Linked DNA regions of Oryctolagus cuniculus. The protein of the gene in region 2 interacts with the protein of the main gene of each other region in a pairwise test. Links are inferred from orthologs where the notes say so. Each region holds a gene or a part of one and is shown on either strand. Other genes may lie near its edges. The genes, in order: ABHD5 and PLIN1.

What was found.
Region 1: the proteins of PLIN1 (region 2) and ABHD5 interact in a protein complementation assay, tested with the Homo sapiens proteins (3 studies listed by BioGRID, with this or other methods). The link is inferred for Oryctolagus cuniculus from reciprocal best matches to the Homo sapiens genes PLIN1 and ABHD5.

What each region holds. Positions count from the first base shown.
Region 1 is NC_091441.1:104,510,582-104,514,874, forward strand, and holds the start of ABHD5 (1-acylglycerol-3-phosphate O-acyltransferase ABHD5), read right to left. Parts: upstream 2,807-4,293; 5' UTR 2,720-2,806; coding exon 2,673-2,719; intron 1,498-2,672; exon of another isoform or gene 1,451-1,497; coding exon of another isoform or gene 1,443-1,450; intron 1-1,442. UniProt on the Homo sapiens protein: Coenzyme A-dependent lysophosphatidic acid acyltransferase that catalyzes the transfer of an acyl group on a lysophosphatidic acid.
Region 2 is NC_091443.1:99,743,932-99,747,733, forward strand, and holds part of PLIN1 (perilipin-1), read right to left. Parts: intron 2,806-3,802; coding exon 2,601-2,805; intron 1,046-2,600; coding exon 963-1,045; intron 41-962; coding exon 1-40. UniProt on the Homo sapiens protein: Modulator of adipocyte lipid metabolism. Coats lipid storage droplets to protect them from breakdown by hormone-sensitive lipase (HSL). Its absence may result in leanness. Plays a role in unilocular lipid droplet formation by activating CIDEC.

The DNA.
Region 1 (4,293 bases), on a different chromosome or scaffold from region 2:
ACCGTGTACAGAAGAGATTCGGAAAGCAAACGAGATCTCAGTCCCGTTCACAGACAAGCAGTTCAAGGAGTGTGAATAACAACACAACAAAACCAAGGACGAAGTGCTATACTCAGAAACAGGAAAAGAAGAGAATCTAATAAAAGTGACTCTTTGTCTAAGGTAAGAAGGAAAACTGAAGGGCTGGAATGTCCAATAAAAGTTTCAAAAAGGAAGCCGCTATCATTACAGTATCTAACACTGAACAGGACCCAGGAAAGTTAAGTACTGAGAAAAACAAAAGGCCAGTGGGGTACAGCACTGAAATTTTGTAAAAATTTTGTTTAACAAGTCAGGTTTTAAGAAGGCAAGGGTTTCAGAAGGGGAGGAGGAAGGAAGATAAAGATCTTGATTTAAAAAAAAAAAAAGAGAGAGAGAGAGAGAATCCTTTATACCTTATTTGTAGCACCTGATGATTTCTTTGGTATAAATACCATGGCCAATTTCAAGCTGCCAAAGGTTGAAAAAAATTACTGAAAATTTTAGCAATGGCTTTCTGGTACAAATCAACTCCAGCTCACGACCTCTTCTTTTGTCTACCCTGCAAATGAGCAATTCTGTGACAATTTCCCTTTAAACTCAACTGGAAAGGAGTTCTCAGCTTAGAGTCTGCTGAACTTAGTAACACATCTGGTATTCTGGGCAATAAAATTGTGAGGGTTGTGAAAAGGTGACAGCACAGTTGTGACTCTGGATGACAAAAATGTCTTCACCATTTTCTAGGATAAGCTTACAACAATTCACAGAAGTCTAAACTATTCTGGTTACATTTAGCAACTCTAGGAACTTGGATGTTGAAAGTCAAACGCTCCCTGGAATGCCCATCTTCACTAGGAGCCACAAGGGAATACACAAGAATTATATGCTGCAAATAACTGTTTTACAGTTGTTCCCTTTGCTAACATCACATCCCCATCTAAACCCAAAATGTCTTAAGGACGGGGAACTTGATTCAAAACAAGAGCCGAACATCTGTGTTCTAATCCAAATGAGAGGCTGCAGAAATATGGGGGAAATGCCTCGGCCTGAATTCAGACAGCCAAAGGACTCCAATCCAGCCAGCGCCACGACTTGGGAAGCAGTTCCAACTGCAAAATGGGAACAGAGTATCCGGGGCACAAGCTGCCCCTTAGGTTCAACATGGAAATGTCTGGGCAGCATCCAGCAGGGGCTAGAGCTTAGTCTTCCCTGTCTGCCTGTGGGACAGTTCAGGAGGCCATAACCAGCATGGACACCGGACCCTGCTCAAGTGCACAGCCACCACCACCGGGGAGGCCCACCTCTGTCTAGGGACAGCTGGTTACATGCTAATGATTTTGCACAATCTGCCTCCAGTGACCTGCAACCGTCACCCAAAGCCATAAACCCCGTTCCCGGTGATATCCTGGACGCCCAACACTCACAACAACATGGAGACCAACGAGTTCCCCTCGAAGCACTCTTCTGGAAAGAGCCAACGCTGTCTTTGACAAACCAGATGGGAACACAAGTTACCACGAAGGCTCCTGCTCGCATCTAGGCCACACTCAGCATCCCACCCGCAGTGAACAAGGCAGTGACCCACAAACCAAAACAACGGACCCATTCACCATAAAACAAAACTCAGAGGAAGACCCTGGCGACTGACCATTCATAAGCCTCCCCACGTCTTTCCAAATATCCCTGTCTTCGCTGTTCCTACCATACATCCTATCAGGTCAGGCTGCCTATGCAAGCTGCTTCTTCAAACATCTGAAGCCGAAGTGCTGTCTACATATGAAACACGCACGGGGGCGGGGGGGGGGGGGTCCACACTTCCCCCCTCCCCTAATATACACGAGCAGCCTTGGCAAACAAGGCAAGGACCTTCACAGCCATTTAACTTTTCCACTAACGCTTCCTGCTAACAAGTGCTTGGAGTTAATCCCAACTCAGGACCTACCCTCAACTTTCACAGTTTCACGTACCCGTCGTCCTCTCCAGACAGAACCACAACAGGGGCACAAAATAAGTTAATTAATTAAATAAATAAAATTTTTAAAAAGGCAAGGCGGAGCTGGGAGGCTGATCTACTTCTGAAAGATCAATGATCCCTTCTGAGCTGGTTATCCGCTCCCAAGTGTCAACTTTCTATCAGTCCGCGCCGCCCGTACGCCGAGCCAGGCGCCCACTCCCCACCGAGCCCCTAGCCCTCCACCCCGGCCCCAGGGCACTTTCGGAGGCTGGACAGAGACAGCGCCCACTAACGCCCCCAGCTCCTCCGAGGCGGGCCAAGCGCCTCGGCCATTTCCGGGCCACCCAGTCAGGTGCGGGGTCACCGGGGCACACCCGGGGTTCCCCGGGGCGGAGGGCCAGCGCGGGTGTGGACGTCGCGGTCACCTCGCCGCCAGCCCCTCGGGGCGGCTTTACCCAACCGCACGAGGGCAGCCCCCCGGTGTGGGCGGCCCAGGCGGCCGCAGACAAGCCCGGCGCTTGAAGGTGCCCGCGCGGGGCTTCTCCTCCCGGCTCGCGGGCTCGCGTCGGGCAGCGGCCAGACGTCGCCAAGCGCTTCTCGGTGCTGCCCACTGGGCCGGGCCCCTGCCCGTGCGGAGGACGCGCGCTGGGGACCCACGCAGCCCCACACTCCTCACCCTCCGTTCCCCAGCCGCATTCACCTCTCGCCGGTGTCCGCCGAGTCCACCTCCTCCTCCTCCGACGCCATGGCCGCCGCTGCGCAAGCGCCGGACAGCGTCTCCAAGCCGGCTGACAAGCCGACTGGGCCGCCCAGGGCCGCCGCCGCCGCCCTTAATGCTGCGCCGACTGCGCATGCGTCGGCTGTCCACCGGCAGCTGCGGGCGGTGCCACAGCGCGCTTGCGCGAGCCGGGCCGCTCCGCCAGCTGCGCATGCGTCCTCGCGCCGGGAGCGCTGCTGTACGGCCGCTGGGCAAGGCAGGCAGGCTAGTGGACCTGGTGATACTGGCTCTGCCGAGTTAGGTAGTAAGGTAACTTCGTATAATGACTGTATTGATGCATCATCCCTCTGGCCTTGCCTGTCAGGTGCTGGACGCTGAGAGCCAAGGAACGACCTAGTCCCTGGGAGAACCTACATAGATTTTCTCCGCTGGGCAATGGAAATGCTACTTTGCGCGGGTGGGTGGCCGAGGCGATAGGGCGACTCGCAGGAGCCTCCAGCCAATCAGTATTCTCTGCTGTAATGCTGGGGAGACACCCCCATTAGTAACCACCTCCCCACACCCTTCTTAGGAGAGCTGAGGTCCGAGTCCGGAGGTGTCAGGTTCCTGATAGGGTATCTCTGATGTCACTGTCAGCATCTGTAGCCTCTTAGCCATCGGAGACAGCCTGCTTGTGTAATGACAGCGCTTGCCACCATCCATCCACTCCTCCAGTTTGCCTGACTTCGTGCCCACTGTTTTCTAGGCGCTGGGGAAGCGGCGATTAGATAGGCCTGCTGCCTGTAGGGAGCCCACGCTAACATGTCCCCTTTTCCTTTAGATGCCGTAGAGCTCTCTCTGTCTCCGTCTGTTGGGTGCTGCCTAGGACGCGGTAACACAGAGGGAACAGAAGTTCGTTCCTCACGGTTTAGGGGCTGGGAAATCCAGCATCTACCAGCATCCCATGACAGAAGAGCAAGAGAGTAAGCGAGCAAGCGAGCCTGCTTGTCCTTTCCTAGGGATCCCTCTAACGAAATGAGGAGCCTGTTCTCAAGATGCCACATTAAACGCTTTGTGTGTGTGTGGGGGGGGGGGGGGGGTCCCTGTGACCCAAACGCCTCTCTTCCCAACATGGCTGCAACAGAGTAGCATTCTCCTTCTCTGATCGTCTTCTCTCAGGGCAGCCTCTCTCTGCAAACCTGTCTCTGTCATCCCTCTCGCACTCAGAGCCTCAGCCTTGTACAATGGCTGTAGCTTTTTAAGGGACACTATTGAGCCTCCTTCCAGCCAACACTGAAAGTTCCTCAAAGATAGGGATACTCTCCTCTGTGATTTACTCATGTTCTCTTGGGCATAGTAAGATTTCTTTTTCTTTTTTTTTTTTTAAGATTTATTTATTTATTTATTTGAAAGTCAGAGTTACAGAGAGAGAGAGGTCTTCCATCCAATGGTTTACTCCCCAATTGGCCACAATAGCTGGAGCTGTGCCAATCTGGAGCCAGGAGCTTCTTCTGGGTCTCCCATGCGGGTGCAGGGGCCCAAGGACTTGGGCCATCTTCTACTGCTTTCCCAGGCCACAGCAGAGAGCTGGATTGGAAGAGGAGCAGCCAGGACTTGAACTGGC
Region 2 (3,802 bases):
GGAGGCGTGTGGAGATGCTGTCCTTCAGCTCGGACGCGATCTGGGGAAGTCGTGGTGGGAGGGGCTCAGGCCACCTCTGGGCTCAGCTCCCTAGCCCGGCCCAGGGTGCTGGGTACCGATATTTGGGTCCCTGCGTTATGCTGGGCCCTAGAGGGAAAGGGCTCCCACCTCGCCGTGCCAGCCTCGTGGACTTTCTGGCCCCTTCACAGCTACCACTGCTGTGGCTTTGCGGACAGTCCCCAGGTCTTCCTCCTGGGCTGCACCTGACGCCCTACTGCCCACAGGGCCTCTCCGCTCATAGTCCCATCTGCCTTCCTATAGGCTGATAGCCATGGTTGATCTTCCTGCCACAAGTCATACCCTGAAATAATTTGCCTTTCTCTTCATTAACCTGGGAGCTCCTTTGTGACAAAGATACTGCCCTTAACCTGGAAAGATGGGGGAGTGGAGAGCACAGGTCCCAGGCAGAGGTGCACCTGCCAGGCTCCACTGCAGGTGGTTGCCTCTGAACTCTGGGGACGTGGCCCCTTCCCCAGAGAGTGGGCGAGGGGGTCAGTGGGAGAGCTCATGCCGTGGGGCTGGGGGCTCGGACAGTGCCTGGGTGGGTGGATGGATGAGGTCAGAGACGGAAGCTCATTCCCCCACGGGCAGCTGCTCCGTGAGTATGGCTCCCTGTGAAGGGACCTGCTCGGGCTCTGGGCCGTCAAGGCTGGGAGCTCTCGCAGACACTGCATTCTGTCTTCCCGATGCATGTGACTCCCAGAGGGCCCCACTCCGACTTTCTGCTTGAGTTTGCCTTTGGGCTTGTGCCTGCTGCTCCGGGAAAAACCTGTGTCCGTTTGACTCCAAGGGCAGGGAAAGCAGCCACTGTGCGGCTGTAGGGGCCTCCCCCAGCCTGGAGGGAGTCCAGCGCCAGTGCACCCGAGGGCGAGGCAGGCACGGGGGTCGAGCAGGGGGCTCACCTTCTCCGGAGGGTACTGGAGGGCGGGGATCCTCTCCTCCAGGTGGTCCAGGCCTCGGCAGGCCAGCTCATTGGCAGCCGTGACTGGAAGGGAAGGACCATGTTGGGGTGGGGGTGGGGTGGGGGTGCGGCCCCACTGTAAGAACCTAGCAGTGGCCTCTGGGCCAGAGGCAGCTCCTCAGAGCCCTGGGGGCCCAGCCCTGTTGCCTCCCAGGTGTCCTTGACCCTGAGCCCTTTGCCGTCAGTAGCCCCGACCTGCGCTGGGACGGGCCCACACTCCAAGCTCAGCTCCCACCTCCACACAGTGTGTGGCCTCAGGTGAGCCACAGCCTGTGTGTGCCTCGGCTTCCTCACAGCTCCCTCCCTCCCTGGCTGCCCAGGGGCTCGGCCTGGGTGGCAGGAAGAGGCAGCACGGAGGTGTGGGTGGGAGGCAGGGCCTTGGTGGCACCAGTCTGGGGCTGCTTAATCCTAGTGGTGACACTGTCAGCAACAGCTGCCATGGGCTCTCCACAGCCCTTGCCTTTTTTTTTTTTTTGACAGGCAGAGTGGACGGTGAGAGAGAGAGTGAGACAGAGAGAAAGGTCTTCCTTTGCCGTTGGTTCACCCTCCAATGGCTGGCACACCACGCTGATCTGAAGGCAGGAGCCAGGTGCTTCTCCTGGTCTCCCATGGGGTGCAGGGCCCAAGCACCTGGGCCATCCTCCACTGCCTTCCCAGGCTACAGCAGAGAGCTGGCAGAGAGCTGGCCTGGAAGAGGGGCAACCGGGAAAGAATCCGGCGCCCGGACCGGGACTAGAACCCGGTGTGCCGGTGCCGCTAGGTGGAGGATTAGCCTAGTGAGCCACGGCGCCGGCCAAGAGATGCTCTTTCATACATGCCATCTCCGGGCATCTTATCTTCCTTCAGAGAAAGCTCAAGCCCTGGTGACTGGGCTGTCTCGGGACTGGGAAAGGGTGGAGGGAGGGAGGCCAGCCCAGGGCCAGGGGCCTTCACCCGCCCTCCTCTCCTGTGGGCTGGGTGAGAGCCTCAGATCCCCCTCATTCTCCAGCCAGCAGCGAGGAGGGAGCCAGACTTCTCAGCGCTGCTGGGAGTTCCCTCAGCCCCATCGAGAGCCACGGCTTGGAGAATTCACTTCAAGTTGGGCTGAGCAATTTGAAGGGACAGGGCCGCTAGGGCTTGATGGACAGCCGTCTTCCCGTCCTGGTCCCTGGCTGATGGCCCTCTGCTGCCCCCACGTGCCAGGAGCTGGTATCACCAGCTGTGGGGCTCAGCCAATGCCCCCCCTTCCCAGCACTGGTGCCCACCAGTCCTGCTGTTGGAGCCACTGGATTCGTAGTGAGAGCAGGTGTCTGACCTGCCACGGGCCCCCGTCTCACCATCGCCACTTAGCCCCGCCCACCCCTCCCCCTGCCAGTTCTTTGCCCCGTCATTGTCATCCCAGGTGACAGCCAGCTGGGTAATGATGGGGCATCTATCTACACAAGGACAGGGAGCTATATTTACATCTTTGTGTCTCTACGTGAGAAGACCGTGGAATGGGATGTAGGCCTGGGTAGGCGGTCGGGTAGACAGACAAGTTATCAGGTGATGGGACAGCCAGACGGGGGACAGACAGCCGCGAGTGTCAGTGAGGACTCACACTGGGTGGACAGCCTGCGGACCACTGGCTCCATACTCCAGGCAGCCAGGCTGCTGGCGCTCTGCACGCCCTTCTCGTAGGCATTGCACACGGACGCCACCAGGGGATGGGCTTCCTTGGTGCTGGCGTAGGTCTTCTGGAAGCACTGGCACGTGCCGCTCACCACCGGCAGCTGCAGCACCCGCTGTAGCGCGTTCTCTTGCTCCTGCCAGGGAAGGAACCCATTCGCGTTGTTGTCGCACCTCTCTCTCCAGCCTTCTGGGAAGGTGAGCCCAGGCTGGGGAGCCCATAGTGAGTCACTGAGCCTAAGTGACCTGGGAGGAACCAAGGCCAAAGAGGTCTCCGGATGCCAACAGTCACGGGGACACGGGGAGCCACAGGGAAGGTAAGATGCACCTGCAGCGCCTCAAGGTCACGAGCCAGGCTTTGGAGTGCTGCAGAGACAGAGGCAGCCCCTGTCCTCCTCCCTGGCCACCCCTCCTGAACTTGGCAGGAGAGAGCAAGTGTTGCTGCCATATGTGTCTGGCGTTTTGGTTCACCTTGCACCGGTGGCCTCGCCTGAACACTTGTCCGGTTGTCTGGAACACTGCCCCCTGCCTGTGTGCCCCGGCCCCGGCATCTGGGAGGCTCACCCTCCATCCAGGTCCCCCTCTGCCCAGCCGTGCCCTTTCCCGCGGGACCCAGCTTGGCCGTCACTGCCCCGTGAACCTCCCAGTCCTCATCCTACACAGCTGCCCCTGGGTGGCCATCCTTGGACCTGCCGTGCTGTGATTTTGTGTATGCTTGGCCCTCTCTCCCAGTGCCTGTCGCTGCTATACCCCCAGATGGCCTGGCCCATAATGTCAGCTCAATAAAGCAGGGCCAAATTAAACAAGCGGGGCTGCACAGAGCAGAATGGGAAAGCTCAGATCTTGGGCCTCCAGGGGGCGTGCAGTAGGAAGCCCCGCCCCACTCCCCTGGAAGGCTCCCCTCTCTTGGAGAGGAGGGGCGCACTTGTCCTCAGAGAGAGAGGCCTGCGCCCCTTGTCGGCCAGCGCCCCTTGTCGGCCAGCTCTGAGGGCCCGAAATCCACCTCCAGCCCTCAGCCCACCTTCTGCCCCTGGAGCAGCACTGGGCAAGCCTATTTCATCCCTCATGGTTGGCTCTTCCTGTAGTTGAAGCTAAAAGTGTCACCCATAAGAGGTCCCTTCTCCACGCTAAGGA